Linked DNA regions of Drosophila melanogaster. The protein of the gene in region 3 purifies or fractionates together with the protein of the main gene of each other region. This does not show direct contact. Each region holds a gene or a part of one and is shown on either strand. Other genes may lie near its edges. The genes, in order: comr, aly and achi.

What was found.
Region 1: the proteins of achi (region 3) and comr purify together in Drosophila melanogaster (affinity purification with western blotting, with the first as the bait; one study listed by BioGRID). This does not show direct contact.
Region 2: the proteins of achi (region 3) and aly purify together in Drosophila melanogaster (affinity purification with western blotting, with the first as the bait; one study listed by BioGRID). This does not show direct contact.

Annotation. Positions count from the first base shown.
Region 1 is NT_033778.4:21,860,977-21,870,772, forward strand, and holds comr (cookie monster), read right to left. Parts: upstream 5,884-9,796; 5' UTR 5,818-5,883; coding exon 4,015-5,817; 3' UTR 3,894-4,014; downstream 1-3,893. Other genes in the region: CG9294 (uncharacterized protein), read left to right, coding at 1-603, 659-988.
Region 2 is NT_037436.4:3,021,390-3,031,665, forward strand, and holds aly (always early), read right to left. Parts: upstream 5,133-10,276; 5' UTR 5,036-5,132; coding exon 4,935-5,035; intron 4,872-4,934; coding exon 4,596-4,871; intron 4,533-4,595; coding exon 3,203-4,532; 3' UTR 2,740-3,202; downstream 1-2,739.
Region 3 is NT_033778.4:12,508,571-12,519,803, forward strand, and holds achi (achintya), read right to left. Parts: upstream 6,493-11,233; 5' UTR 6,206-6,492; intron 5,829-6,205; exon of another isoform or gene 5,774-5,828; intron 5,692-5,773; 5' UTR 5,675-5,691; coding exon 5,560-5,674; intron 5,492-5,559; coding exon 4,998-5,491; intron 4,939-4,997; coding exon 4,790-4,938; intron 4,690-4,789; coding exon 4,303-4,689; intron 4,214-4,302; coding exon 4,112-4,213; intron 4,053-4,111; coding exon 3,931-4,052; intron 3,865-3,930; coding exon 3,685-3,864; intron 3,620-3,684; coding exon 3,501-3,619; 3' UTR 2,964-3,500; downstream 1-2,963. Other genes in the region: vis (vismay), read right to left, coding at 1-75, 142-263, 323-424, 514-900, 1,001-1,149, 1,296-1,696, 1,755-1,869; CG13151 (uncharacterized protein), read left to right, coding at 6,874-8,688; CG8818 (uncharacterized protein), read right to left, coding at 8,834-9,018, 9,071-9,204, 9,267-10,237; CG8569 (uncharacterized protein), read left to right, coding at 10,663-10,777, 10,843-11,233.

The DNA.
Region 1 (9,796 bases), 9.4 Mb from region 3:
ACGACAACAACTTCAACTCCGGTAGTGGCAACAACTTCCACAACAACAAGGAGAACCACAACAACCAGCAGTACAACGAGCAGAACAACGACATCCAGAACCACAGTGGCAAACTTTCCCATTGAGAGGGATTGTGTTACTTGTCGCTGTGGCTTGATTAATACCTTGTACAAAATTGTCGGAGGTCAGGAGACCCGAGTTCATCAGTATCCTTGGATGGCTGTGATTCTGATATACAATCGCTTCTATTGCTCGGGATCGCTGATCAATGATCTGTATGTTCTGACAGCAGCCCATTGCGTGGAAGGTGTACCACCAGAACTAATCACGTTGCGATTTCTCGAACACAATCGTAGTCATTCCAATGATGATATAGTGATACAGAGATACGTATCCAGGGTGAAGGTACACGAATTGTATAATCCGCGGAGCTTTGATAACGATTTAGCAGTTCTACGGCTTAATCAACCGCTTGATATGAGGCATCATCGTTTGAGACCCATTTGTTTGCCCGTACAATCGTACAGTTTTGATCACGAACTGGGTATAGTTGCTGGTTGGGGAGCTCAGAGAGAAGGAGGATTCGGCACCGATACCTTAAGGGTAAGAAAACCGATTGAAGCTTGAAATGGGAACAATATAACATTAAGAAATTTAGGAAGTGGATGTTGTGGTGCTGCCTCAATCGGAGTGTCGCAATGGCACAACGTATAGGCCTGGACAAATTACGGATAACATGATGTGTGCTGGATATATCTCTGAGGGTGGCAAGGATGCCTGCAGCGGCGACAGTGGAGGACCTCTTCAGACCACCTTCGATGAGCAGCCGGGTCAATATCAGCTGGCGGGTATCGTTTCCTGGGGTGTCGGATGTGCCAGACCACAATCGCCTGGGGTTTACACCCGAGTCAATCAGTATCTTCGCTGGCTGGGCTCCAATACTCCAGGAGGCTGTCATTGCATGCCATACCCTGAGGAAGATTACTGAACTGAATCAGCAGATGAATAGTTTTTTATTGTAGCACCTTAAAAATATTAAAAAAATTAAGATAACTGTGCAGCAAACTCATGGTTAAACTGCTTTTTCAATAACAATTTATGCACCCACTTTTAACTAATTTATGCAAAGTGCACACAAATTTGCAACCAAGCAGCACATCGATCAAAAGTTGCTCACCAACTTTTTGGCTAGATTTTAGCAAATGTTGCATAAAGTACTTGGAAAACGCTCAGCTCATATCCCGGGGAGCACATCCATATCCATAACCACATCCTTAACTGCAGCCATTGGCAAATAAAAAAGCAATTTAAAACTGGGTTACAACACTTGAAGGCAAGCTATTTGGATCCTTTTACCTTTTTGGTGAAAAGTTTGCCAAGCAGATGGAACGAGGCCATATCTCATACATATAAATCCCGATTTGCTGGCGAATATTTTGTGCAATTTTGATTGTTATGCATTTTGCATTTGTGCAATCATAAAATAACTCCCTACCTGCTAGCAAAAATGGGAAGAAAGCCCAAGGACACGCCAAACTCACAGGAGCAAGTTTCACTGCATTTGGTGGCTAGTTCTACAGTCCGTATATAGCTTATTTACAAAGTTGGATTTGAAAAAGGCATACAGATAAGCGCAAAGTTTTTAACAAATGTACAACAAATTATTTACTCAGGGGAACTGGTAAATTGAGTTTCGATTTGTTGGTAATTGAGAGTTAAGGTTAGTAAGTTTGCACTACCAAAAAGAAAAGTTCTGAATTTGAATTCCAATTGAAGAAACTTTTAAAATTAGTAAATCCTAAAACGCTTTTGATTAAGAGTAATGGCCAATCAGTGATGATATTAGTGGAAAGTTTTTTAGGATATAATAACTCTTAAATGCCATTGTTTTTATGATTCCACTTTATTAGATCCGTAACTATATGGCCCACAGTCAACACCTCGTTTCCTTTGGCATTTTCCCACCACAAGACAAATTGCCAAACCTTATAGAGGAGATACATTCGTATTTGCCCCCATAAAGCATAGAGATACATATGTAAATAGTTTTACCGCCGCTTTGAATCATTAAAAATCTTTACGACTCCGTATTAAAGTCAGACAAAAAACGGGAAAAATACGAGAGGGAAGAGAGAAATACGAACAGTAAAGAAAACATTAATGCCTTGCCAATAAATTTGTCTCCCCAGCAGAAACTCGTAAAGATTTCCTACTCAAGCCCATAAAGCAGTCTCAAAAAAAAAAGTTTGTGAGCCTCAGAAGTTAAAGTACTGCCGACCTGCGTGGATTTCCAGCTAAACGACAAATAACTTGGCATTTAATAACTCTGCATTCGGAGGGCATTTCGACTTACCCCCCCCAAACTTCTTTGCCCCACCCCCACCTATCTGACTTCATTATAATGCAGCAAAAGTCCCGACTTTATTCCTGTTTCCATAATTTAATACTGGCGCGCTTTGTCGCAAACCGAATTTATGTGTTGAAACTAAAGCTGAGATTGTGGCCTTTGGACCGAAAAGGTGTGTGTGGATTGCATTAAATTGGTGCGTGAGAAGAAAAGAATCAACGAAATATTTGGATTAAAAACGATTCTAAAGCATCTATATATTCAAATCCCTACCCTGTAGCCCAAAATACAATATTTTCAATGTTAAGTTTACAAGTTCAAGCTACATGCATAGTTCAGTGATAATTTATTTGCCACGAACCAACTTTATGGATGTATTTTCCTAGGCACACGCTACACACACCCCCTACTATCGAATATCCCTGCTGTTTAGATCATCATTTAAACATCAAATTTAATAATCAGCCTGTCATGTTTATAATTGTGACTCTTGGGGGAAGGGATGGGAGTATGGCAGCCTGGTCCACTCGGCTCCTCGATGGGCAATCATGGCAAAAGCCACCGAAATGGAGAAGCAGAAACATTTCTCAGAAGGCAAAACATGACACATCTCATTATGAGGACTCCCAAAAGAACTCAACCGCAGAATCCCTCGCCTTCTCGCAGTTCGTGTGCTGCTGTCAGAGCATTTTGTTTATGATTTTGTAGCTGTCATAAAGTTATTAAAAGTATGTGACATTTTTATGACATTATGACGTCTTGACTCAAGGTTTCTCCTCTTTTGCCAACCGAAAAATCTGTTTTGGGATTTTTCGGAGGAGCGGAGCCGGCAAATAAGAGGATACCGGCTTTTGTTTTCAACGCTCCAGAGTTCTGCGAGTGGGACCAAACCGATTTGATCCGTCCGGCTGTCTTGAAATATGATATCAAATAAAAAGCAAATTAAAGACGATAAAAATCGTGTCTCGGCTCACGCTGAGTTATATATATAAAAAAAAAGCGCTTATTTTTTGCGCCTCTTGCAAATGCGGTGCGAGGTACACCACAAATCCGAAATCCCTTCGAAATCAAGTATCGTTTAAGTTTCGCTTTGGTTCTGGTTTTGGTTTTGGTTTCGTTTTCGGTTGCCTGTTGTTCATCTTGTTATTTGGTGGCTCATAAAACTTGTAAACATCCGACTGATTGTGCCCCTGTCTGGTTTTTTCCTTTATTTTCTGGTTATACGTTTTCGGTTTTTGTGAGTTCGTGTGGGTGCTGGCCCTCGGTTCGAATTGGTAAGATATTTCCAGATGATATTACACTTTTGATTGGCCTCGGTAATGGGGCACTGAGGGCGTGAGAGATCAAAGAGCGATAAGCGATTTAATTGCCCATATGTCCAAACTTATTGCCTTCGAAGAAGACCAACAAAAGCTATAATGAAAGGTTTAGATATGCCCAATGGAAGATGGTTAAAGGAATGGGCCTAAAGTTGAATAAACAAAAGATATGGCAGAGGTGAATGGTCCGAAGATGCGTACCGTAAGTTTTAAATAAAATCCTCTTTAAAGTTACTAAATAACGTTTAATTGTTTGGTGCACAAATCCACACAGTCAAGTATTTGATTTAACAAATAATAACTCCTAGTTGCCTTAGATATACCATACAATTCCAATGAGTGGCAGACTCAACGAGGATTTCGCTTGGAGTTGCGTAGATCATAGCGTCGGCTTTTTGGCGGTTCAGGAGGGTTCCTGTACTGCAAATTTTTGTAAACATAATCCTCGTCATCCTCGTCGAAGTAATCCTCTTCCTCGTCGTCGTCGTCATCATCCAGGTCATCGTATTGCGAATCCTGCACCTTGGTTTCGGTCGTTTCTTCTATGACTTGCTCCTCGAAATCAGTTCCTTCTTCAAGAGTATAGGAGATATTTTCGTCACTAGGCTTTAACTTAACGTTCTTTGGGTTTCTAGACTTAAAACCTTCATACACTTCGTCTGGCTTGAAATCTTCGCATTCGCTGGAACTGGAATGTACGGGTTTAGCTTGGCGTTTCGTGGGTTTGGCTTTGGTTTTGGCTCTTGGTTTGGGCTTTGCTTTAAACCTGGTGCTGGTCTGTGGAAGTTCCTCCTCTTCGTTAAGATTAGAACCGCCGCACAATTCCTGCATAGCCTGCTCCAAGTCCGAGTCCTCCACTACCTTGCGACCTGTAGATTTCATCTTCGCCGCCGCTGAGGTGGATGGCATGAAGTCCAAGTCGAGGTCCGATGAAATCGGTGGCAGGGCATCGTCTTCATCATCCGAGTAATTCATGCCGATTGGCAGATTCTGCTGGAAACCAATGGACTTATTGGTGGCATCCATAACTATTTCCTTGTAGCCGGTGATTTTGCTACCATAGCGCGGCAGATATTCGGAGAAGAACTCGTTGACTTTGAATAGCTCGACCTGGCCATAATAACCGGCATAATCGGGAGCTTGGCCAATTCCGATATTAATCACAGATTCGTGCGGCTTTACGAATTTCTCAAAGGAAACTTTACTGGGCGCTAAGTCTACGGGGGCGTTATTGATAGACGAACGCCCCCTCTTCACATTCAGTTGCGTCATAATGTTCTTGTTGAACATATCGTGATTGTTGCGATCCTTAAGGACACCCAGATCGGCTTGATATCCTAGCAGAGTTTGGAAATGACATCGAGCCACTTGCAGAGCAGAACGGGATGTGTAGGGAGTGGAGCAGAGATCTCCTCGCCGTACCATCCTGGAAATATGGGCATAGTTCGGGAGGTGCAGAGGTGGTCGTCGCGGCTCCGCCGTTCCCGGGCTTGAAATTTCAGGTATTTTCTCACATTCCTGAGCCAGTTTATGCAATTTGAGTAACTGACCCTTAACGAAATTTGGATTCCGATAGATCAGCGTGATGTTGGTGGCTGAGGATTTACGCACATCCTTCAATGAAACGCGTTCGAATCCGTGGGCCAATAGAGTGCCCGTAAATTGCAATGTATTTCGACAATGAAACATGGAACACCCGCTGGACAAATGCTCCTGCATACCCTGGTAATCGACCTCCAGTTCGCGGCCATTTGCCGACCACTTGAGGTAGTGAATGGAGCTATTATCGGTGGCCAGGAACAGTTTCACGACGAATGCATAATGGAGTAGAGGATGGCTTTTTGGCGTTTCCGGGATATGGATACCCAATTGTCGGTAAATCCGCCTGTGATTCTCCGCTGCCTTCTTATTGATGTCGGAAACAGGTTTAACTGCCAGATCGAGGGGCTCCTTCTGCAAAGGATTTCTTTCGAAATCTTCCAGCGGATCCTCGGAGTCCACAAAATCCAGAAACTCGGGGCTATCCGCTGGCGTCCTGGACTCCTGCTGTTCCAACTCATTTGTCCAACTTGTTGCTGCGTCTTCTTCATATTCATCACCACTTTCATTGACCTGCTGTGACTGGCCCAAAGTGTCTTGGTTCCCCGACATTATCCTTTTGTATTTACAAACTTCGATGACTTTTTAGTTCTCAAACAAATATTCGGGCAAACGAGCAAGCCGGAAAAATATGAGGACTGACAAACGAAATGTTGGCCCACTTTAAGGGTTGCCCTGCTGTTGTTTTCCATTCGGAAAAAGTGTTGCTAAGTTTTTCTGTTATCCTTTACAGTTTCTATCGATGATTTTTAAGAAAACACACTCTCATCGGTGTACTTTAAGCAGTCACACTTAATGTTCAAAACTTCTTTTTTTTACATGTTAAATAAGCCTTGCATTCCACTATTATTATTCTGCTGCCAAAAATTCTTATTGATAAATTAAAGTTACACAATTTAGCTTTAGTGAAAGAGTAGACAGGCGAAAACCAAACAAAGCTCCTTTCATTTTATTTGAATGCACTTCATGTTTTGTTTGCAATAAATCTATTGTTATTTATAACCCCAAAACCCCCAGTTTTAACCCTCCCATTTGTTTCCAAGGGCGGCAAAGTTCAAAAAGGAAAGTAAGGGAAGCCTTTCAATTGGGGATTCATGGGCTATATCAACAATAATGCAGACCAAAGCCGAGACAACAAAAAGCCGCCAACACTGGCACTCAACTGGTCTATAACCAGTCAATGAGAAAGAGAGGGTGACACTGTGCCGAAAGAGATAGCTTTAAATTGACATTCATATGAATATTTAATACACATCCTTTAATCACGAATCATCCATGGCGAACACCCCCCCAATTATTCTGACTGATGCACGATATTTGGATGAACAAACTGCTGAGTTTTTGGCACAGGCGAAAAAAATCGGACTGACAAGAATTTTATGCAATAATCTCACGTGTCACCAGGAGTAAATTAAAAAAATGTCGTCAGCTGCTTGAATCTATTGAATATTATAATACCCTGCTCTTTATAGCTTCTTTAGTTATTGGTAAATTACTGATGTGAATAGTTCGTCTAGTGAATATAATTATGCATTTCATTGCTCAATTTCTTTGGCGAATATTTCCGCCAATTTTATTGTTCTTTTATTACACTAGTTGTAATGTTTACAGTCCGAATTTGATGACAAAGTTGTAATTTCCGAGCGAAAATCATAGGGCAGCCCATGAAAAGCTGCATAACAAGAACAACGGCTGTATATGACGAATAAATTTACAAGTCCAGTTGGAAAAAAATAGTATACCAGCACGCACGTGATTTTGACAATGAAACCCCTTTCAATTTTTTCATTGCTTCCTATTTTTTGTTGCTCTTTCTTTTGGCGGAACGAAAAAGTTTCTTTTGTTGTACATTTTTTACGATCTGATTTAGTCGTGTGACGGAAGCCCTATATGAATTCATAAAAAGCACTACATAAGTTTCGGTTTCAGTTTAATTTTACGGGTAGAGAGCTAGAGGTCTTTATTTACTCCTTATCTGGGGACAACTATTGTTCAACTATATATGGAGATCTCCCATCTCGTTCGTCTAAAAAATATTTTATAAAATGTTGAAAACGTTATAAAACATAAAAGTAGGAATGCCGCCGCCGTAGTGTTGTTTTGTTTTTGTTTAATGCGTGTCAAGTGGTCGTAGATTATGCATTTTTATGGTTTATGGGGCGCTACTCCATCGGTTTTCCTTTTAGACTATTGTTTTCCAAGCAATTAAAGATGAAGACGACTGAGCACGACCTTCTAGCCCCGAATTTTTCCAGCTGTTTTCCGCCCTTTCGCTATCTGAATTGCATTTTTACGATCCCGATTCCAGTTTCGATTATATTTCCTTATTCTAGAGTGAGTCACTGCAGCAAGTGATACGCTCTATAAGATTCTCGTGGTTTAGTGACTCATGTGAAGACAATGGAGCTCCAATCCATCAATCATTTCACTTGCCAGAAGGCAAACCTTGGGGTCTCATTGAACTTATTTCTCTCTGCTCTTCGCTTTCTTCGCCTTGAGGTTAAGCTAATTAAAATAAATGAATATATTTCATAATTTTACGAACTGCATATTAAGGGCCAAAGTTTGGTGGACTTTGACAATTAGCGGCTAAAATATCACTTTGCCATATAGCATGCAGAAAAATCATTTTTCAAAACACAATGCATATTAATGATCGTATCGTTTTCTTGAGAAATGCCACAATTAAACATATTGAAAGAGTTTACAATTTAGTTCATTAAGCAAGGGATTTCTTGGAATATGGGATTTTGAAATGTGCAGGCAATGCTCATAAAATCTTATACTCTTAAAAATTGTATATATTTATTATATTAATAAATTTAAATTGTATATAATTTCCTAGAACACAACCAGTTCGAATGCAAATGTATTTTCACAATGTATCTGACGACCTTATCTACAATCTCGCACCCATGTAGACTGTGACTAATTGAATGCCCATTTCTCCCGCTTTTGCTTTTGCTCTAAAAAATCCATTCCCGTTAAGACTGGAAGGCAATTCCCGGTTTTGGTAATTTGATATTTTCGATGTCCACAAATTTTTCACTAAATATGTTTAAACTCATTTCCCCTTTTGGTATCGCTTTCACCCCTCGTATCTGTAGATACTTATTCCATTCCCTTTTTGTTCTTTGTCTTCTGGTTGCACTGTTTTGTCTAATGAAGCGTTTAAACTCCTGTTCGTTGATGATAATTAACACAACTCCATTTCTGAAGAGTACTGTAAAAAAGGGGATCTCATTAACCCTTGACATTTGTCACACGAACGCGGGGGAATTTCGTTTTGCTTTTTTGACGAGATGAAGGAGTTTTCGAGTGGGTTCCAAGTTTGAATTGAAGTTTCGGGCTCCTTTTGTCTGCTGTACAAGTCAATCTACGTGACATCCTTTTCGTCCTTACTTTTTTACTCCTTTTTCGCTAAACGAAATTGTTGAAACAGATGTCAAATTGTTGTGCATTTTGTATGTTTTTGTTGCCTTTTTCCTATTGTATTTGTTTTCATTTCCATCGCGGTGGTGGCCCCTTTTGTTTTCGTTTGTTTTGGTTCATTGACTTTGCGCGGTTTCGAATTTCTGTGAAATACTCAAAACCCCATCCCCAGCAACTCCTACTCCTTCAGGGTTCCTCAATCGATTTGCAGTCCTCGCAAAGGGCAACTTGATATGTCCTCACTTTATTTTCGAAGGGAGTCACGGGAGTGCCGAAAGTAAAGGGAGCAACACATGTGTCTTCTACATTTGGAGATCCTAAGATAATGCAATCTAGAGTTATGAGCTGGCCTAGTCGAGTTGCCACGCGGAGTCGTATATTTATAACCATGAAGATATGCTTCTTTAAGTAGATCTAAAGTGCATATACACAAAGGCCATTGCGTTTAGAATTTATTTGTGGTTAGCATGGTCCGTAAATTTTTAAAGGTTCTCTGGGGGAATGAAATATTATGGAACAAAAGTTGTTGAATGAATATTATTGGTTCCATATAGTTTGCATTTTATTAAAATTTTCTAAGGTAAAACTAATTGTAAGTTTTACTTAATGCAACAACCCATGTTTTAAGTCTTATGTCTATTTCTATTCCACACCTTTCTGAAATAAAGAAGACGCAAGAAAGACAACCGAAGACATGCAGAAAGTGCGAAAAATCATTTTGTGATAAATAATACAACTTCATCAGCGAAAAACGAACCCCCAAAAGCGAGGTTCCTCGCCCTCGAGAGGACTACCCCCCTCACCACCCTCCAAAAGTCTTCGTCTTCGGAGCGTGAGGCGTGCATAAGTGAAATGTGCACAAGATACAAGATACAAAGATACATTCGAGACAACACCGAACCGAGCAGCCAAAAAGGTAATTAATCATCGTCATGGGGCGTGTGCACGATTCGCTTAACGTGCGCCTTTGGCAGTGGTTCCCCCGCCCCATTCCCTTGTTCCACCCAAAAAGGGGGGGGGATGGCCAGGGGCTCACGGAGGGGCAGGGACGCTGACTGAGGGTCACAGTTTGGTCTGTGCAGAGTCAGACAAACATATT
Region 2 (10,276 bases), on a different chromosome or scaffold from region 3:
TTTGTCCATAGAAATGCAAAAAATTATCCAAATATTGTTCGTATTTGGATGTTCAATCAAATGGCATCCCAAGCTGGAGATTATATATTTAGAAAATTTTTTGAAATAATGTATCCCTTATCAAAAATGAGAAAATTTGCAAAAACAAAATTTTTCTCGAAAGTTGAAGTGAAAGTGATGGGATTTTTAGTTAGGTTATCGGCTGTAAAAAAAAAAAAGCTATTACTTTAAACGTGTGATTTTTTTGGGCGGAATTTGACGAAGAACCGATCCGTGAGAGCTTAAAGCAAAGCGATGATAGCGATAAATTTATTTTCCCATATCGATTCAACGCTCAAAATAAATAGTATCGTAATAATTCAGGCATAATTAAAGCTGTGGAGCCCGCCACACGCGACGTCAATCATTGTAATTTATAACGTAAGCAGAAGCGTAAGCAAACTTAAGCCATTATTTCCGCTTTTACGGAATACAAGCCGCAGGCTGTGCTTTTGTTTTTGCCATCGTTTTTCCCTTAGTTTTTCCACTGTTTACTGTTACTTTAGCTGTTGTGTTTATTTTCGCTTTCATTTCGTTTTTGCTGCACATTTGCATTTTGTATCCCGCTGACCTCAGTCCACCGACTGCCGCCACAAACTGCTGTCCATTTCATAAATCATTCGGAACACACACACACACATCTGAGTAAAACACTCACAAGTACACTGTGAAATATATACAACCTAGTTGGAAGGAAAACTATAGTATTCATATATAGTTTTAAAATTTAACTTGATTTATTTACTTCAGTAAATAAAATGTTATTCATTTGTGCTATAAATTGTGGCGCCTTATTTTAATTGAGTCTTCAATTTCCATTTCGAGTGGAGTTTTACATTGCCGCGCTCTGATTTACGGCCCTTAACCGAAACTTACACATGCGCCTACATCTCCCAAGAGAAAGGAATATTAATTTTATATTTATTATGTAACCGACAGCAATTGCCAACCATCAATATCAAATTAACCAATTACGCAACCATGCCATTAAGCTGATTAAAATCAGTGCGCCCAAAGAAGTATGCTACAGAAATGGTTTCCTTTAAGTTAAACATTAAATATGCATTTGGATATGTATGTTCAGCATTTGGGATGAGATTCAAAAGCTCTTTGCATAATATGAGCAGCTATAAAAAGTAACAGTTTTATTATTGTGTTTTTGACATGATAAATATTAAATTATATAGATCATTCCATATATGTACATATGTAATAATAATAAAACATTTCAGTTGATTGTTACTATTCTAGTCCTAAAATAAAGCTGAATCTATTAGTTAACGTGTACCCCTGTCGAGTTTCCGAAAAATATCGTCAGAAACTCATTGCGATAAATGATAAGCGCTTGGCAACAAACAACAAAAAAAAGAGTCATGCCAAGAGTGCCACGCCCACTTACACTCCGCCCAAGGGCTTTCTAATCATCTCGCAATTGCTGACCCAAATTTTCGGCCTGGTATGACTTAAGCAAAGCCAAAGGCCAGCCATAGATGACAATTTAATAAAGCAAATTGAGCGGCTTGTGGCGAAAGTTTCCTTGGTATTTGGATTAATCCAACCCACATCCGCGCCCACATCCGCACATCCGCAGCCTTGCAGAGTCGTTAATCAATTAGGTTGCCAGTCTTAGGCGATTGCTTTGCTGGCATGTGGATATGCGATTATATATGTGTTGCCACTTAAGCTGTTATGTATTGATTCAATTTCATATAAACGATGCCCCGCCACGCGCAAATATAATTAATGATCAAGTGTCAACGGAATAAAAAAAACTTTAGTCATCTCGAATGCATTATGTAAGGCGGTGTATTGAATTACATTTAGCACGAGTAGCCAACCAACATTCACAACTTTCACAACACGAGTTGGTCCACGCGGATACTTGACCGTATAAACTTGGCCTGCCCACATTTATTTGCTGCCATTTGTTACGTTTGTTTATCCTGGCTGGGGGATCCTTGATGTCAAACTACCACGTCTGTCGATTTTTTTGTTCTTCAAGTGTTCTTCAAGTTTGCGAGGCTATTGAAACGTTCAAAATAAATACATTAATCAAGTTAATGCCTAAATATATATTTCATTACAGCCATATTCTTGTGAGCACAAGTACTGCAAGGCACTGCGAAAAAAAATTACTATCACATTGACTTGACTGGTCATTCTAATCAGGAATACGAATAAAACATTTAATTTTGAATGCATCCTCAACCAGAGTCTTTACCACAGTTGTAACATATAGTGGAAAAAATGTTGCACTCGATAAATTTATAGCCGGATTCGCCGCCCCTGCAGCTTCAACGTATTATAAATATTTACGAGCCGCCCGCTCGGGTGGATTCCGTGGAGGATACGCACATCTTAGTCGATGACGACGACACATCCGGGGGAGCAAAATGGCCAGAGTCCATTCCCGCAGGACACACGCCATCAGCTCCTTTGCCGATCGTTTCTCCTCCCGGGGGACAGAGCGACGCAGTGCATCCGGAGGCATATTAATGATGTCTTTATGGCGGCCACATGGGCGTTGGCAAATTCCCCGGCGGAACTGGCTCACCCGCACAATTTACGAGCGTAGTGCATCCATCTAGTAATTAAAAAATAGAAAACACTTTACTCGTAAATGCTGATTTATGTGGGGATGCAACATTGCTGCACAAAATTTAGCCTCAAAAAAAGAGAAAATTTCCATACCTCCTTTTTGCAGGGTTTATTAGTACTTAGAGAGTTATAGTAAGAGTTTTTCTTAATCATTTTTAAGTATTTAATAAACTACACTTTCTATCATCAAAGTTGTAACACATTTACAGGCCCTTTAGAAAAAGCAAACATTCCCCAGTGATTATCCTTTTTTGAGTGCCCCCTTAAAGTTTTCGTTCACATACGCATTACTTATTTGGTTGCCAATCTGTCAACTGTTTTACGGCTGACTTCCTGTGGAACGTGCCACTGGAAACTTGAAATAAATCCTAGAACCACGTACCCCCCCCCCCCAACTACCCCTTCGCGTAAGTACCAAAAGAGCTCTACAAGGTAGCAGCCACAAGAAACTTCGTTAAGCTCCTCTGCCGGCAAACTCCCAATGCACATGACACTCCTCCTAATTGAGCCATAAATAAGAGCGAGGCTTTATTTCAGTATTCCAAAGGGCCAGTAGGTAGTGTGTTTAGCTGGGAGTATCCGGCTGTGCCTCGACCACAAAGTTGTAGATACCATCCTCGGTTTGCATCGGAGCCTGCTGGGTGATTTGGAAGCGCTCTGGTTTTTTGACGTCTTTAAATATTTGCACCACCTGCTGACGCAGAGGCTCCAGGGAATCGACGCCATCTTTTAATTTCCGGCCCAGCGATGGCTGGATGTTGTCCACCATGTGGGTAACCAGATCAGCGATAATCGTCTCCAAATTGGAGCTGTTCTCGCGCCCCAGCTTTCCATTGAGATACAGTATGGTGTGAAGGTTGCGGACGAACTCCTGCGTGCGATCCGATTCTATCTTCAGGAATTTCTCATCCGCGGCAGTCTTGAGGTCCTGTTCCGCCTGCATGCGACACTTCTGATAGACTTCGCTGGCGGGACGACCTCTTTTGGACTCCTCCTCCTCGTCCTGCTTCTGATACTCGACCAGGTAGTCGTGCAGGATGCGCAGCGGTTCAAGGATATCAGCGTTCACTCGGTGCAGCGTTATCATGCTGGCCGAATAGCGACGCTGGAGATTCTCACGCTGAGGTGTGACCTTGGCATCGCGACGACTACTTGAAGAACCAATCTCCTTGAATGTCTCGAAATCCTCATTCATTCGGGCCAAGTCCATGAGGATCTTGTGCTTGACATCCTGTAGTTTACCAACCCTTAGCACTGATTCCAGAAGTTCCTTGGTGTACCTCTTGTTTCCGAACTTCTCGGTCTTGGCGCTCTCCGAAATAACCGAGGACGATTTGTTGCCGCGCATAATAATTGACAAGGGAACCGCCGCGGTTTCCTCGTCGGAATAGAGCTGTGAATCCGGAAGACTGAGCACGACTGCATTGTCGTTTCTATTGAATCGAACCAGATAGGTGTAGTCCTGCGGATCGTAGCCCATGACAGTGCCATTGACGATGCCCTCAAAGGAGTTTCCGTGCAGAAAACTGCTGACCGTGGCATCCTTGGCCAGTGGCAGGGGCACACGCTTGGGTATCTGGTCCAAGTAGCCCACGTTCTCCTTGGGATTGAACTTATGCTGCTGCAACTGGCGCACAATGCGGCGCTGGCACTCCAATTCTTCGCGTTCCAGCTCGATGAAGGCGGCCGAAAATCGACGCGCCTTCCCCATATTCCGACGTACCAATTGCCATCCTCTGCGGGGCATGAAGCAAGAGTGCAGGAGCGGACAGTACTCCGCTATGAAGCGCTTCATATCGTAGCCCATGGTCAGGGTCGGCTTGTCCAGGAAGGAGTCGACGAACTCACACCAAATCCAACGGTGAGAGCTGAGATACTTCAGGAAATTGTACAATCTAAAGGAGAATGAACAATTAAGCACTTAAAGGGATCTCTAGGGAATCTTTCCCATTACGAACCTCTTGCCAAGTATAAAGTCATTGGAGTAGGGATCCTGCTCCTTTTCCTTTTCCTTCGCTTTCTCGTCCTCCGAAACATCTACAGATATATTGGACGGCTTCTTTGTAAAGTTCTCAGTCCTTTTGGACGCCACGCCTGGTTTAATTCTTCCCTGGATCTCTGGCTTTTCGGAAATCCTAATACGCGGGGCGAAATTTGGGCGTTTAATAAATAATTCATCGTTTTGCCATGCCGCCACCATCTTTCTGGGTTTCTTCAATTGATGACGCGACATTCTACGGATGGTAGCACAGTTATAGTTCTATTTTAATATTTGATAGAAAAGGAGAAAATATTACGTTGTCGTAGATAGTAATCCTATATTTGCCAGAAACTCGTTTTCTTCGCAGATCTCAGATTGGATTGTGAAATTATCGATTGATAGTGGATCAACTGACATGCTGAAATGGTCTACTAAGTTTTTCTTTAGTAATTTAAGCGAAGTTTTTCTGAACCAAATGTTTTTTTTGTTAAAAGTCTCACGCCATTTGACATATGGCCTCCAAACTTGGGTTGCCAACATATTTCAATTCTGTCAAGGGTTGCCATATTTTCTAAGGTACTAACTAAAGTCATTATTAAAGTAACAGTTCTGATAAATTAAATTAAAACAACTAAAGTCTTACATGGATTTTAATAAACAGTATCAATATTTTTTATGAACAGCAGGCTCAATCGAATTATGTAATTTTTTTTTTTTAATTCATTGATTTTGTTTTTTGTTATATGCCGCTTTCCAGGGTTGTTGATTTTCCGAGTGAAATCTGTTGAATTTTTAATTTGAAAAACTTTTGCGTGATTTTCATAGCTGGTGCCAATTGCGCAACACAACAATGGGTGGCCGAAACTCAGCCTAGCAAAATAGTAAACAGCCAAAGTTTCGCCGGACTGCAAGAATGGCTTCATGGTCAATAGTAGATGGTCGATATGGTGGTAATGGTCATCGGGGCGCGTAATTAATAAAGTTTGCATACGACTGTTGTCGTGGCTAAAACGCCGCCAGCGGATTTCGAATTACGTAAATGGATTTCAGCATTATTGCCTGCGCACTTTTGGCCTAATTTCCATGTCTGTGATGTGGTAAGTACGCCTGTGCACTGCAAAAAAAAAGGGTACAAAGACAAGAGAATTGCTAATGAAATTCCGAGAGTATTTAGTTAGAAACGCTGAAACACACACTTGTTTTAACATCCAAATTCCATATTTAATTATATAAAACGGAATTCTAAATTAAATTAAATTAAATTATAAATACACCTCAGTGTATGCCAATGGTTTGTGCCCGCAAACTTTCGACATGTGTTGCGGTCGTTTTCTGGGAAAAAGGAAATTGGATATCCAGATATTCAGACTTAAAGGAACTTAAAGATTACTTCCTCCATCGAGATATCGATTGCCGTCTGTGCACCTCATTCAATTTGCTGTGCACACAGAGCTTCCGCAGAATCGGTGACAGAAGGAAGAGATACCAGTTTTAATTTGCATTCCTTTCGCCTCGAAGGAGCAGCGGGATGTCCTAATGCAGGACACCTGCAGCTTGTACTCACTTAATCAGCAGACAGGCAAAGGTGATGCAGGTGGCTGGCTGGAGGCCAGCAACATGCGCTTAAAATTAAAAACCCAAGGCAGACAGCTGGATGGTTCCCATGTTCTTCAGTTTTTGTGTTCCAGGATCACAAAACAAAACATTGACATTGAACTAATGAAAGCTGCAGGCGACACGTGCCACGCCCACCTACCACCCACCGCCCATCGCCCAGCCAGGAGGCCTTAGCCAGCGGAATGGGCGATGATAGGTCGTGCCAACGGGTTACTCATGTGCACGACTTCATTCATACATACATACATATACATATGAATGGGTATTCTCATGCGGCTATATTGTACCCTGTATAGCGAATGTTGGCTTTCAGCCTGCGGGTCGTCTTTGCACTGGCCCAAAAAACTGGCTAAATGTTGAACGGCACACGCAAGCGTGTTAAAAAAAAAGGTTTGCTCAGTGAACCTAAAAAATCGAGTTCAAAGAGTGAGGGGTGTTTTAAATGGGCGTATGTGAATCAGAAGTCAACCATGAAGGTGTCAAAAGGTATACAGCGTTAGTATGAAAAGGATTAACACTTAGTGGGGCAATTAATTTCCCACTTTTATATTAGGTTTAAATAAACGAAGTACATATAATATTTAAGTGAAAATCGGACTTCAGTGTAAGATACAATAGTTTCACCAGCTTGTCGAACTTAAACTCTTGAGCTGACAGCTTTAGCTTCTTGGCCATCTACACGACAGAATCTGTCGCAGCTTGCCCGCCTTATACTCATGGCTTTTACTGTGCATTTACAGTTTATGACAGTTTGAGGACATTAAAATTGAAGCAGTTTGTATCGCCAGCTCCCAGTTGGGGGGCCACATGGGTTGGAGCTGGCTTATCGCCACTCGCCACTTTCATGGCCATGGAGCGCATTAATTGATTCGAGAGTTCGGTCTTTAAAGCACGATTTTAGAGCGGACATAACAAAGCCACTCGGGGGAGTCTGTGAAAGTCAATGACTTTCTGGGTAAAGTCACGTATTGGCCAACAAAAACAAAAAGCAGACTTGCAAAAAGGAACAAAGCTTCTTTATATTTATGCCATATACTCACACATTTGTCGCATTAATTGAAAGCGCGAAAGCGACAGTTGAATCAATTTTCGGTTTTTATTCGGTTATTTTTCTTTATGAAAAATCATTTGACAAGGAGCGTGCTTTCGACCGCTATCATAAGGCCACAAAAAAGGGTCGAATTCGACCCTTGGAAATGCCAATAATAATTATAAATATATGCGACTGCTACCCACATCAAAGTGAAACAACATTTGAACCTGTGGGAAATGTTGAACAACCCGCAATGAAAAGCAGAAAAATTTTGTAAATAAAAAATTAATACTATTGAAATATTACCTTGTTTTTGATTATGGCAATAGGATAGGGAAATTCCAAATGTTTATAGCTTTAACGTGTCTAAGAAGAAGGTTTCCTTTAAACAAATACTAACTGCCCTGAGTAAACAGATTGAATATTATTCGTTTAAAAACTTAAATTATGCTTAAAGCTCCACTTTTTGGATGACACATTTCAATATCTCGTACAATTTTCCCCACAAATGACAATGATTTCGTGCACCGAATTTCTTCGGGTTTTCAATTTCAATTACTATCGCTTTTATTTCAATTCATGTTCAATTTTTCCAGTTATTTTACAGCCATTGTCTGCGGCAAGGCGCCTTTGACTTGGACTCCTGCTCCTCCTGCTGCGGCTGACATTGGCTTTTTATCGCAGATTTCTTTTGGTTCGCCGGCCCGTAAAATGCTCATGTGATTGCATTGTCTCCGTGATGCACAGGAAACAATTTCTATGCGTTTCAATAAGCCAAGTTAATTAGAACTCTAGAAAAACATTAAGACAAATTACTGATGTGCAGTTTCAGAGTATGCCCATAGTTTGGAAAGAACGATGATAAATATTGACACTGCTGTGGTCTTTTTCGCAGTGTACCATCGAAATGGCTGATTCAATTGGCCGATCCATTCGGTAGATGCCACAGAGACAACGCGGCGGATGGACAATGCAGCAAATCCTCTTATCAAATTGTCATCGTCATTAAATCGCAATTAGCCAACACCACAGCGATGGCAGTAACAACAATCTGTCGAGGATTTGGGGCGCCTCGATTGCTGACGACAGCAACTGGAAAAACAGAAAACTTTTAAGCGGAAACACGCGCCTGGCCAGCTGAACTTTGCCGCTCTTCGATGTCCTCGGTGATTCTGAGACATCCTGCGATGTCCTGGCTGCTTTCGCTCCCCGAGTCAAACTCAAATTGACTTAAGCGCTTCTTCTGCCGCCCCTGTCCACTTTCATTAGTCAGAAAGGAGAAAGGGAAGGTGCTGATGGTTCTGGGCTCAGTGCCCAGAACTCAGGACTCAAGATTCTGGATCTCAGGACCCAGTCATTGACACCGCCGTTGTTTCTTTTTCCATTTCAGTTCCCGCCTTTCGCCGCGAACTTTCAGTGTTCTCCGCTCGACTTGGAGTAAATCAGCTTAGTGATTCCACCCGATTTTCGCCTGTCACCGGGATATCCAGATGACGGATGGTGGCATCATGTTCCCCAGCCGACTTTATTTTTGGACTAGCAAATGCGGTAAGCTATTCACAATACAGCATACTACTAAAAATAGATAATTATTATTATTATTATAGCTTTTATGATATCATTTATAATTTTAAGTCTTACTTGAAACTCCAAAAAAGATTTCAATTTATATCATATTTCTAGAACTCTTAAACTTATCCATAAACCTATTTCTGTGGCCGCATTTGTAGTTGAGCAGGGGCTACCGGATTTATGTCACGGAAGTTAAGAAAGACTAAGACGTCCACCAAAATGGATCCCACTTCCCATTTGCATACCCAAGGGGCTCTCATATCGCCGGGTTCCTGGTTCTCAAGTGATAAGTGGGTTCTATTCCTGGCATTCAGCTACAGCCAGCAGCTTGAAATCTTAAAGTCAATTCCACTCAAGTCCGGTGGGGATTTGTGCACAACGGCAATAAGGCATTTGCCATGTTTTTCCATCCGACAAGAAAGCGCAACAATCGTCATATATAGCATATATATACAATATATACGAAGAGTAGTGGATGTAAAAGGCAGCCATTGTGGGTGGTTTTTTGTGAGGCTTTCTCGCCGAGCATTTCCGTTGAATTATAAACATTTCTTTCGCATCGCACTGCACGACTGCTGAGCCAGTTGGCCAAAAATGCTGCTGCTCCTGCGATTTCGATTGCGGAATGTGGTCACATAGACGCGAAAACGTGACGGACAGAATATTGGCCAATCCTGGGGATACCCGTTTTATTTCTGGACGTCCTTTACTTAGCTGCAGAGCCAATTAAACAGAGTGCTTATGTGGCTAAAACAGAGAAAATCTCCCGAGAGGAATCAGTCCGCATGACTGGTTATGTTTTTAATTGAAGGTTTCAGTTTTTAACAAGTAAACATGTACATAAGTAACAAAGTAACCAAGAAAATGTAATGCCTTTGTAAATTTAAATCAACTTGAAATACTGAACTAAAATTAAACACAATACATTTTAGTTAGTTTATTATAGAAGCATTGCTAAGCACCTGATTAAACCAAACCAGAAACAAATATTGACTATAATTTTAATATTTTTTCCCAAAAATTAACTAATCAGCTTAATTATCCACGTTCTTAGCCCGATCTACATAATTTTTTCGAACTTTTGTGCGCTTTTCCCGCTCATAATCGGCTTGCCATTTTCCACGACTTTTCAACTACCTGCGGATATAAAGTGTTTAGTGCACACAACATCACACGCAAAAGGATAAGTGGAAATTTTCACGCAAAGAACGTGACCATTTTCGTGTCTACAGTTTCTTTAGTTTCGTTTTTCCTGACGGTGGCTTAACGTTCAAGTTGGTATTATTCCAAGTTCACAACAACAACAAATTGTTTCAGAACTTTGCTAAAAAAAACAGACAATTGTCGTGGTACAATACTGAAAAAAAAGGATATGAAAATTATAATATGTATAAAATTGTATACTTAAAGAGATTATTCCTAGTCAGATCTTGAGT
Region 3 (11,233 bases):
TAGGATCGATTGTCTGGATTTCTGAGGCCTGTATTATATTCAGCTCGCTTTCAAAGTCTGTCAACTGTTGATTCACTTTAGGAGTAAAAGAGTTGGATATTACCAAAGAAACCGAGCTCTAAGTCTGCAAACTTCACTCACCGTCACGCTTCGCAGTCTGATTGCGATTCCAGATGGCGGTATTCTGAACAGATGCCTTAGAACCAGAGGTACCTGGATTATTGCCAGCCGAAGTGCTGACTTCCTCAGTCCCAAATACAGTTCTGGAATTGCAGAGGCCGAGATTACAATATTTTCTTAATACATCCACATAGCTACTTACTTTATAACGCTCTGCCAATCATGGGAGGTCTCGAAGCGTACTTCCTCCTCGCTGTTCGGCCCACAGGACTCGTATCCCTGTGCACTCTCTTCGCCTTCGGACCTGGGGGTAAAAGTAAAATCTTAGCACCGCCAGTCGCACTTGAGTAAGATTTAAGGCTCTGGATCAGTCAATGGGAGCAGAAGCTGTACCTAGGAGACACCACGATTCCGCCGTATGAATCCTTATAGCAGTACATGGTTTCTTGCTTATTCCCAGTCTTCTGCTTTGCTTGCTTGGCATTCTCCCTAGGACTCTTTGCAGCAACCGTCCGCGTTCTTACGCGCTTCGGAGGTCTTGGCTTTTCTTCGTCATCGAACTCTGGCGGCAGCTGGCCAAAAAGGCTGTATGGCAGTATGGATGTGGCAGGACTGGAGTTGGAGCTCGACCCACCAGCACCACCAGAGCCAACCGCCGAACCCCCAATGGCGGCAGCCTTGCGCATCTGATAGTTTTTAATTTTATCGATCATGGTTGCTTGAAGCGAGGAGTGAAGACTTTGAAAGCCCATCGGGTTGTTTGCAATGGCCTGCTGCCAGCTTGGAAGAGGAAAAGGAGTTTGGACGTAGGTGGGATGGGATAGGAGATAGAAGTGACTAACGCTAGGGAAGCAGGTCATAAAGACCGGTTACCAGTTACCTGTAGATGACACTGTCCTCGTACTCCGGCTCCATCTTGACCATTTGTCCGTTGGGGCCCTGCACATACTGTTCAAAGTTGGTCAGCACATTGGCGATGCCCTCGTGAATCTCACCGGCGCCATCCACCTCCTCTGTAGCGCCAACGACCTGGAGTCAAGCAATTTAGTAACTTCAGTGGTATAATGATTGACCAGAAGATAACACACCACTTCGGAAGCAGGACTTCCGTGTGCGGGATTCGGCCCAGTCAAGTTTGCGCCCAACGCACTTGATCTCGAACAGTTGGGGCTAACCTTTTTGCCACGTCGCGATATGGTGAAGTGCAGAGGATCGTTGCCCTCGCGCCTGATCATCTCGGGTAGAATGCGGCGACGGGCATTGATGAACCAGTTGCACACTTGGAGCACCGTCAGATTGGCCTCCTGGGACAGGGTGAACTTCTCCGCATCGCTCGGATAGGCGTTATAGCGGTGCTCATAAAGCCAACGCTTTAAAATCTTTACAGATGACTTGGGCAGATTTCCGCGACGTTTGCGCAGCGACCCATTAATGTCGACGTGGTGTTCACTGTCCACCATCATGTCGTGGTAGTTTTGCACCTGGTTGGCGCCTTGTTCGGTGCTCAGATCATTCCCAACGACGGCGTGAAGGGAATCCTGGTCCAAACTGGAGTCCGAGTGGAAACGGTCACGTCCTGGAGAAAAAAACGGCCATAAACAAGACTGATCTCAACCGGGATATAGGAAACTCACCCTCGTTGTTCAGCAGGCTCGCATGGACATGAGCCTCGTGCATCAGGTCCTTTATGTTCTGCCGTACATGGCGATCCAGGACCATGTTGACCTCCTCTTGTTCCGGCGAGATCATTGCAGCTCAGACTTAAGCTTCAGAAAACAGAAAATTCATTAAAACACAACCAGAATCGGTGTGCAAATATTGAAAGGAAAAGCACAGTAACTTTAATTACAATTTTTGCAAACAGAGAAAATTGACACTTTTTAGTTTCTTTAGGTGTTGTCACCACAGACTTTGAGATTCAACTAACTTTTCCCGAGGGCAGGCAAGTCATTCAGACACCAAAGTCATGGCCAACTAGGGTTCAAAAACAAATTTTTTCAATTGATTTTTAAAAATGGTTCTTTTCAATCGGTCTGCTTGTATCGAACGTATTAAAGTAAGTAATTAAGTACAGGAGAATTTTATAAATATTTAAAATTAATTAAGTTAGGGCCAACTATCGATAACTATCGCACAAACATTGCGCTTGCACACGAGAGACCATGAATATTTAGACAAATTCACTGCGCGCCCAAGTAACGGGCGTCTCGAAATGTACTTTTTACCTTATCCAAAATTTATAAAAATTTTGATTTGTAAAATTTAGACAAGCGCATTTATTTGGTCAAATGTAATATCATTTTGATTTCAGAAGATTTGTATGTTGGAGGTGCGATCGTCACTTGTTATACCCGTTACTCGTAGAGTAAAAAGGTATACTAGATTCGTTATAAAGTATGTAATAGCAGAGGGAAGCTTCTCCGACCATATAAAACACATATATTCTTGATCAGGATCAATACCCGAGTCGACCTGTCCGTCCGTCCGTCTGACTGTCCGTTCGTATGAAGTCAGGAACTATCACAAGTTTGTGGACCTATTTTGCCACGTCCACTCCAACGCTTTCAAACCGTACAAAATGCCACTCCCACACTTTTGAAAAATGAAAACTTTTTGCCACGCCCACTGTAACGCCCTAAAACAGCGCAAAACTCACGCCCTCATTTTTGAAAATTTTTGGATATTTCTTTTTTCCGAATTATCTATCAATACCCCAGAAAAATTATGAAATTTCTTGTTCACATTTTCACATATATGTACCGGGTATCTGATAGCCGGGGAACTCGAATATATCATTCTTTTTTTTTGTTCTATAGCTTTATAGTTAAAAATCGAATCATTTTGTTTTTGCGCCACTCTTTATTATCTGTGGTAACCAAAGTATTCCAATACATTTATAATATTTATAACAAAATTAATTTTGTCCTTCCACAAACGTTCTCATTTTATGTATGTATGTGTACATAATTACTAGATACCTTAAAAAAATGGCTCTATCAGCCAATTAGATAAAACACACCATCATTTTATGGCAATGTGTATTTCAAATGCTTGTTTATGTTTTATTTAAGTATCAGTAGTGTACATGTTAAGTTTAAAAGAGTCAGGTCCAAAACTAAGTCGATTTGTTTGTGAATTGACTTTGTGGAAAAAGGTATTTGGGCGGTCGCATTGCGAATTGATCTATAGCTTTGTACGTTATGTTAGTAACCTACTCAATTAACACAATAACATGGGGGTTATAGACAAATTTTTGGGTCTAGTGCTGTTCGATTAAATTACTTAAGTATATATATATATCTATATATACATATTTGTATATACACGCTTCGGCACTTTGGGAAGTCGGGATCTGTAGCGTGGGTATTTGGTTTGAGGCTCTAGTCTCCCATGTAAACGAAATCGTCATCCTGGACGTCATCGTTTTGGCGCACAGCCATGGCAGTTTCCACTAGATAATAGAGACACTTGTACTTGGCACGCTCATCTGGACTTGTGCCTAAAGCAAGATTATAAAATAATTAAAAATTCAATATAAAGTTGATAAAAATAGGTATAGGTTACCCTGCGACATAGCAGATAATTGACTCTGGCCAGCTTCTGCTTCGGCACCGGTAAACACCTCGTCCGCCTGTAGATTGTCACCAATGTCCTGTTGATTGGAGTTGGTAGGATCGATTGTCTGGATTTCTGAGGCCTGTATTCTATTCAGCTCGCTTTCAAAGTCAGTCAACTGTTGATTCACTTTAGGAGTAAAAGAGTTGGATATTACCAAAGAAACCGAGCTCTAAGTCTGCAAACTTCACTCACCGTCACGCTTCGCAGTCTGATTGCGATTCCAGATGGCGGTATTCTGAACAGATCCCTTAGAACCAGAGGTACCTGGATTATTGCCAGCCGAAGTGCTGACTTCCTCAGTACCAAATACAGTTCTGGAATTGCAGAGGCCGAGATTACAATATTTTCTTAATACATCCACATAGCTACTTACTTTATAACGCTCTGCCAATCATGGGAGGTCTCGAAGCGTACTTCCTCCTCGCTGTTCGGCCCACAGGACTCGTATCCCTGTGCACTCTCTTCGCCTTCGGACCTGGGGGTAAAAGTAAAATCTTAGCACCGCCACTCGCACTTGAGTAAGATTTAAGGCTCTGGATCAGTCAATGGGAGCAGAAGCTGTACCTAGGAGACACCACGATTCCGCCGTATGAATCCTTATAGCAGTACATGGTTTCTTGCTTATTCCCAGTCTTCTGCTTTGCTTGCTTGGCATTCTCCCTAGGACTCTTTGCAGCAACCGTCCGCGTTCTTACGCGCTTCGGAGGTCTTGGCTTTTCTTCGTCATCGAACTCTGGCGGCAGCTGGCCAAAAAGGCTGTATGGCAGTATTGATGTGGCAGGACTGGAGTTGGAGCTCGACCCACCAGCACCACCAGAGCCAACCGCCGAACCCCCAATGGCGGCAGCCTTGCGCATCTGATAGTTTTTAATTTTATCGATCATGGTTGCTTGAAGCGAGGAGTGAAGACTTTGAAAGCCCATCGGGTTGTTTGCAATGGCCTGCTGCCAGCTTGGAAGAGGAAAAGGAGTTTGGACATAGGTGGGATGGGATAGGAGATAGAAGTGACTAACGCTAGGGAAGCAGGTCATAAAGACCGGTTACCAGTTACCTGTAGATGACACTGTCCTCGTACTCCGGCTCCATCTTGACCATTTGTCCGTTGGGGCCCTGCACATACTGTTCAAAGTTGGTCAGCACATTGGCGATGCCCTCGTGAATCTCACCGGCGCCATCCACCTCCTCTGTAGCGCCAACGACCTGGAGTCAAGCAATTTAGTAACTTCAGTGGTATAATGATTGACCAGAAGATAACACACCACTTCGGAAGCAGGACTTCCGTGTGCGGGATTCGGCCCAGTCAAGTTTGCGCCCAACGCACTTGATCTCGAACAGTTGGGGCTAACCTTTTTGCCACGTCGCGATATGGTGAAGTGCAGAGGATCGTTGCCCTCGCGCCTGATCATCTCCGGTAGAATGCGGCGACGGGCATTGATGAACCAGTTGCACACTTGGAGCACCGTCAGATTGGCCTCCTGGGACAGGGTGAACTTCTCCGCATCGCTCGGATAGGCGTTATAGCGGTGCTCATAAAGCCAACGCTTTAAAATCTTTACAGAGGTCTTGGGAAGATTTCCACGACGTTTGCGCAGCGACCCATTTATGTCGATGTGGTGTTCACTGTCCACCATCATGTCGTGGTAGTTTTGCACCTGGTTGGCGCCGTGTTCGGTGCTCTGATCCTCCTCCACGATGACGTCAGCGTGAAGAGAATCCTGGTCCAAACTTGAGTCCGAGTGGAAACGGCCGCGTCCTGCAGATGACATGCAAAAAAAACGGGCATGAACAAGACCGAACTCGACCGAAATATAGCAAACTCACCTTCGTTCTCCAGCAGGCTCGCCTGGACATGAGCCTCGTGCATCATGTCCTGGATATTCTGCCGTACATGGCGATCCAGGACCATGTTGACCTCTTCTTGTTCCGGCGAGATCATTGCAGCTCAGACTTAAGCTTCAGAAAACAGAAAATTCATTAAAACACAACCAGAAACGGTATGCAAATATTGAAAGGAAAAGAACAGAACTTTAATTACAATTTTTTTTTTTTTACAAACAGAGAAACCTGTCACTTTTTAGTTTCTTTAGGTGTTGTCACCACAGACTTTGAGATTCAACTAACTTTTTCTGAGGGCAGGCGTCATTCAGACACCAAAGTCATGGCCAACTAAGGTTCAAATACGCATTTCAAATCGATTTTTGATTTCTTTCCAATCGGTCTACTTGCTAAATCGATTAATTTCCAAGGAACTATACATTAAACGAACGTATTACAGTAGTGAATTAAGTAAAGAAGAAATTTAAAAATATTTAAAACAAATTAAGTTGGGGCTATCTATCGATAACTATCGCACTGGCACACGAGAGACCATGACATATAACATGTCAAATTGACACTTTAACCAAAATATTTTGACAAATTCACTGCGCGCCCAAATAACGGGCGTCTTGAGCTCCCGGGGATTCACCTGCGATGTCCGAATGGGTGCCACTATCATTTATTTACACTAAACACTGGTTTTCCCAGTGTTTCAGCCAGGCCCCGGTTACTGCACTCAGCAAACTGTAGTGACGGGGCAGTCGTCACAACCGTAGTATCGAGGCCAATTAGACAAACTCTTTTTGCAGACAACGTAAATATAGTAACGAACGTTGGGGAAAGCTATTTTGGCACTGGTTTTAAAGCGTTTTATTCCTTTTCCTTGCTGCGTGCCAAACAACAAATTAGTGGCGAAAGAAATCCGATAGCCGCTTATGTGCGATAAATCATGGATGGGGGTCCACTGGGGAGTTAGTTCAGTTGGCAGGTTCATTTGAAATTTGAACAGTGGCGCCAAGAATAAATACAAGTTTTGTTAAGTATAATTTGTTTAAGAATTATAAACATACACTAGTTATCTCTACGCTGGAAATTAAATCTACATTTAAAATAAATAAGTTATATTTAGAATGTACATAATTTTTTCTAAATAGAACAAACTATTTTTTTTATAAGTTTTCAACCTTTCAAGCTTAAGATTTATGTTTTAAATGTCTTTTTCGATAACTATATAAATTATCGATATGTATAGACGTTACTGTCCTAACCTATCGACGACTGAAAAGGTTTGTTTTGTTGCAAGTTTATAAACAAACAATGGAATGCGTGCTGGACGAGGAGCTGCTGGCCAATATTAAATGTAGCGACCAGGAGGAAGAAGACGAGGATGGTGAAAAGATGGAGGTGGAGGAGCGGCTGCCGCCGGTCGATTCCACAGTCCAAAGTGCCTCCTTTAACGGAGATGACTCCGATCCGCTACAGGAAGCAGTATGCAATTTTCCCTGGATTTTCGAGGACAGCGACATGCTGATGAACGAGGACCAACTGGCTGACGTGGTGCTGAAGAAGGAGGATTCCGCCAGGCCAGCTGCCCCGAAGCGAGGACGTGGTCGTCCACCAAATAATAACGGAAACTACACATCTCCTTGTGGGCAGCTATGGAGCGTGACCAGGAGCCCAGATATTTCTGCAGAGGATCTACCCCTTTTGGGGCAACAGGCCTGTGGCAAGGGACCCGCCCGAACAGTGTCCAATGCAGTGGAAGCATGGATGCTGCTCTTCGATGATGAAATGCTGCGGTCTTTACTTCGCCATATCAATGAACAGATGCGTAAGCGGAGAACGGCCACAAGTGTCCAGAGACCCCTAGACGTTGTGGAGCTGCGGGCATTCTTGGGTCTAAGCTACCTTTGTGGAGTGTTCCGAAATGCCAGGCACAATGGGCCATTGGATGAGCTGTGGACCCTGGAGCTGGGCAATGCCATATTCCGAGCATCCATGTCGCTCGCTCGATTCGAAAGCATTTCCGAGTGTCTGGCGGGAAATTGCGGCTGGTCCGAGGGCCAAAAGCTCTGGCAGCGCCTTATAATCAATTGCAGATCCTACTACGGCTGCAGCAGTTGGTTGACCGTGGATGAGACATTCTGCGCGGTGGCCAAGTCACGGATGACCCTCTGCTGTGATGCCAGGACACTGTACATGGCCAATGCAGTGGTAAGCAGAAACCAGAGATGTCCGGACAAGGATGTAGAACAACTGATCTGCGATTTCAAGACCACGGGAAGAAATGTAACGCTGGGATCACGGTATCTAAACTTGACGCAGTGCGAGCAGTTGGCGCAGCGGCAAATAAGCTCGTTGGGTAAGCTGGAGGCCAATTCGCCACATTGGCCGCGGCAGTGGCCCACAGAATCACCCTTGTTTGGTGGCAGCTCAAAACTCATTCCGCTCGATGGCGACGCAGTCTTCTGCTGCGGTCTTAGCTCCCAAGTAGATGCAGTCCAGGCATATGAGCAAACCTCAGAAGCCTGTCAGCAGTTTTACGAACACTCCCAGCGCTTCAGCACAGCCCACGCTACGCCCGCACCCTTGAAAAAGCAGATCAATCCTTTTCTGCAACTACTTCACTTTGTGCTCAACGCGGCTGCCGTGAATGCATGGATCCTGTTACGACTTTCGCCCAAAGGCGATGCCGCTATGGATCAGCGCGACTTCCAGAGACAGTTGGGACTCTTCCTCACACAGCAGAGATTACAGCGACGCCTTCAGCGAAGATCCACCAGCACTTCGCTCGTGATGCGACTGCAAATCTGCGAAATCCTGGGCCAATCCAGTCAGCGGCTGCTCAGTGAGGCGACCGGCGAGGCGAAACTAACGCACAGCGTAGGCGTGCTAACACCCGACAAGATGAGCCTGCCCTTGGGCATTAATTTGGCTAGTCGGTACGGAGAGAAGCATCGCAGGTGCAAGCCCTGCGCTCGAAATAAGCGTGGCACTAAATCGCGGACGCGGTGCCAACAGTGCTTGCAACATCGATGCGGCAACCACTTGATATCCCGCTGCTACGAATGCGTCGGCATTTTGCCTGGCCAACTGCCCGAGGGCAACATGGTGGATGAAGGAGCCACCTGAAGATGGATATTAAATAACATTTATTGAAGAGACACTACATTCCTTGTGGGGGCTTGCAATATGGGGATGCTTGCAATATTGCTCAATGGTGCAAACACTTGTGCTGTAACTACGATGACAACGGCTTAACGATGGAAACTGGGGACTAGAACTTGTACTGGAAGGACTTGGGTGCCTTGTACTTGCTGGCCATTCCCGAAGAGTCCACAGGATCGCTCTGGTCGAGGAACAGACTGAGGAACTGTTCGTTCTGCAGCTCATTTAGCGGCATCTCTAATTCACTGCAGGATTTGACAATCTCAGCGCAGGCTCGCAGATCCTTGCGCATATCTAAAAACGAAACGGGAGTTACATAATATTCGGTTGTGTTGCACAGACTCACATTGATAGTTAAAGAGCAAGCTGAGGCAGCTGGAGCAGGCCAAACGCTGCTGGTGCTGCAAGAACGCCTCGATTAGCCGATGCACCGCATCAACATTGTTACGGGCCAGAAATGAAGAGCACAAAGAACTGGCTCTGCAAGGAAGGTTACATTGGGATTCAAATTTCGGGTTTTTAAAGAAATTAAAGCGACTTACCTCCTCTCCACTAGCTCTTGCAGCTCCTTGTAGTGCTCAAACAGTTCCGAAGCCGATTTTTGATCGCAAAACCAATCGCTAGCGAAGCATTGCTTCCACACACAGGCCACCACAAAGATGTCCTTGTGCTCGCGGTGAATGGCACGCGCTACCTCCAGCAGCGACACTAGCACCGCCTCACTCTTCTGGGCCAGAGTCTCCTCGGAAATGGTGCGGAATGCGGAGCGCGCCATCCGCCTGCCCTCCTCCGAAGTCATGCTTACCCCGTAACCGCGATGTAGCGTCATCAGGGCCACGTCGGCGTTACCATTGTTCCACAGGGCGATGGCGCGGAAGGGCGCCAGATCCGCGTAGGTCTGTGAGAACGGGTGCTCCAGCTGCCGACAGGTCTCCGCCAGTGCCTCCAACTGCTGGAGCTTGCGCTGCGCGCTCAAATACTTTAGACAGGACACGAAGACCTCGTTGGAGGGCAACAGGTTGCAGCGGATGCACTGACGTATCAGGTAGAGAAAGTCCAGCTTGTTCTTGATCTCCAACGTGGCCATCAGCAGGTTGTCCAGCTGCGCCTGCGACAGGGATCTGATATCCAGTCCCAGTTGGGGGGAGCGCAGCGCCTTCAGATCACTCATCATGCCCTTGGACATAAGACCCACGTTCTGGCTAAAGCTGGTACTACCAGCCTTTCGCTGCGTTCCCACATTGCAATTGGCGTCCGCCTCCAGATTTCCGGACGATGGCCTCTTTATCAGGCTATCGCGCAGCTCCTCCCACTTTTGGGTCTTTCTGGTCACCAAGTCGTTGGTGAAACAGTCCATGGGATCGAGATGTGTGGACTTCCGACGTTGCCGCTGCGTTCCCGGCCACAAGAAGGCCGAGATGTAGTTTTGGAAACGCTGCAGGCCCTTGGGTGAACCGGGTGCTCCGGCCACCGTGGTGGTGCCGCTGCTGGTCAATCGCGTCAGCATGGCCATGACTTGGGGTCACCTCCGCGTCCTCCGCTCTTCTAGACACGCCTCCTTTGCCCCGTTTTTGTCTCGGATTGTATAAGTTGTGTATATTTTTTGTTTTCAACAGTGTTACCGTCGCTGATCCGTGTGAAAATGCCATCGAGGAATACCATTATTACGAATCATAGCAAGTTGTTACTGAAATAAACTCAGATACTTTGTTTCACAAATGTTTAAAAATGGAATGCTGCATATAATTACAAACTTACTTTTAAGTAGAGTCATTTAAAAATCCATAAATTTGTATGTAAATTTAAAGTTACCCCTACGTGGCAGCTCCTGTTGCCTATAGTTGGCAACGCGAGTTCACCCAATCCAGCAGTCCGGCAACGCTTCCAGTTAGCCAAAAATTGATTTCATTTGCAAGAAAACTTTAAAACGCAAATGAAATGGCCAGCGATATTCCACCTTCAGCCATCCGTATTTGGATGGACAAGCTGAAAAAGGGCGTTGGGCAGCCGGCGACAGTCCTAGAGCGTTCCCTGCTCAATTTAATGAGTGCAGGTAAGTGAACCATTGAATGTCCAATCCATAACGTTTGTCTCAAACATCTAAAAATCCAACTTCAGAAGCAGCCAGTTTATCGGTGAAAAATGCCACGGAGCGAGGCATACTGGTGGCCAGAGCAGGCGGCGGACGGTCCAAGCGTCTGGCCCTCGCCTTTTGTCAAAAAGTAAGCCGGCTGCCCAGCTCACCAATTGATCCGTTCTGCTTCGAGTGCCATTTGCCCGGAGCCGTTAAGAAATGCATATCCTGCCATCGCTCCTTCCACGAGAATTGCCAGCGACAGGACCCGGAGAAGCCCAATTATTCAGTGCCCTCGGACAAGGGCCAACCTTACCAGTTTCCCGTCAACGAATTGGACAATCAGCCCCTGAATAACACTCAGAACTTGGAGACTCCCCAAACGCCAACGCCCCTGCTCGATCATAATAGCAACATCAATCAGACTTTGCTAGC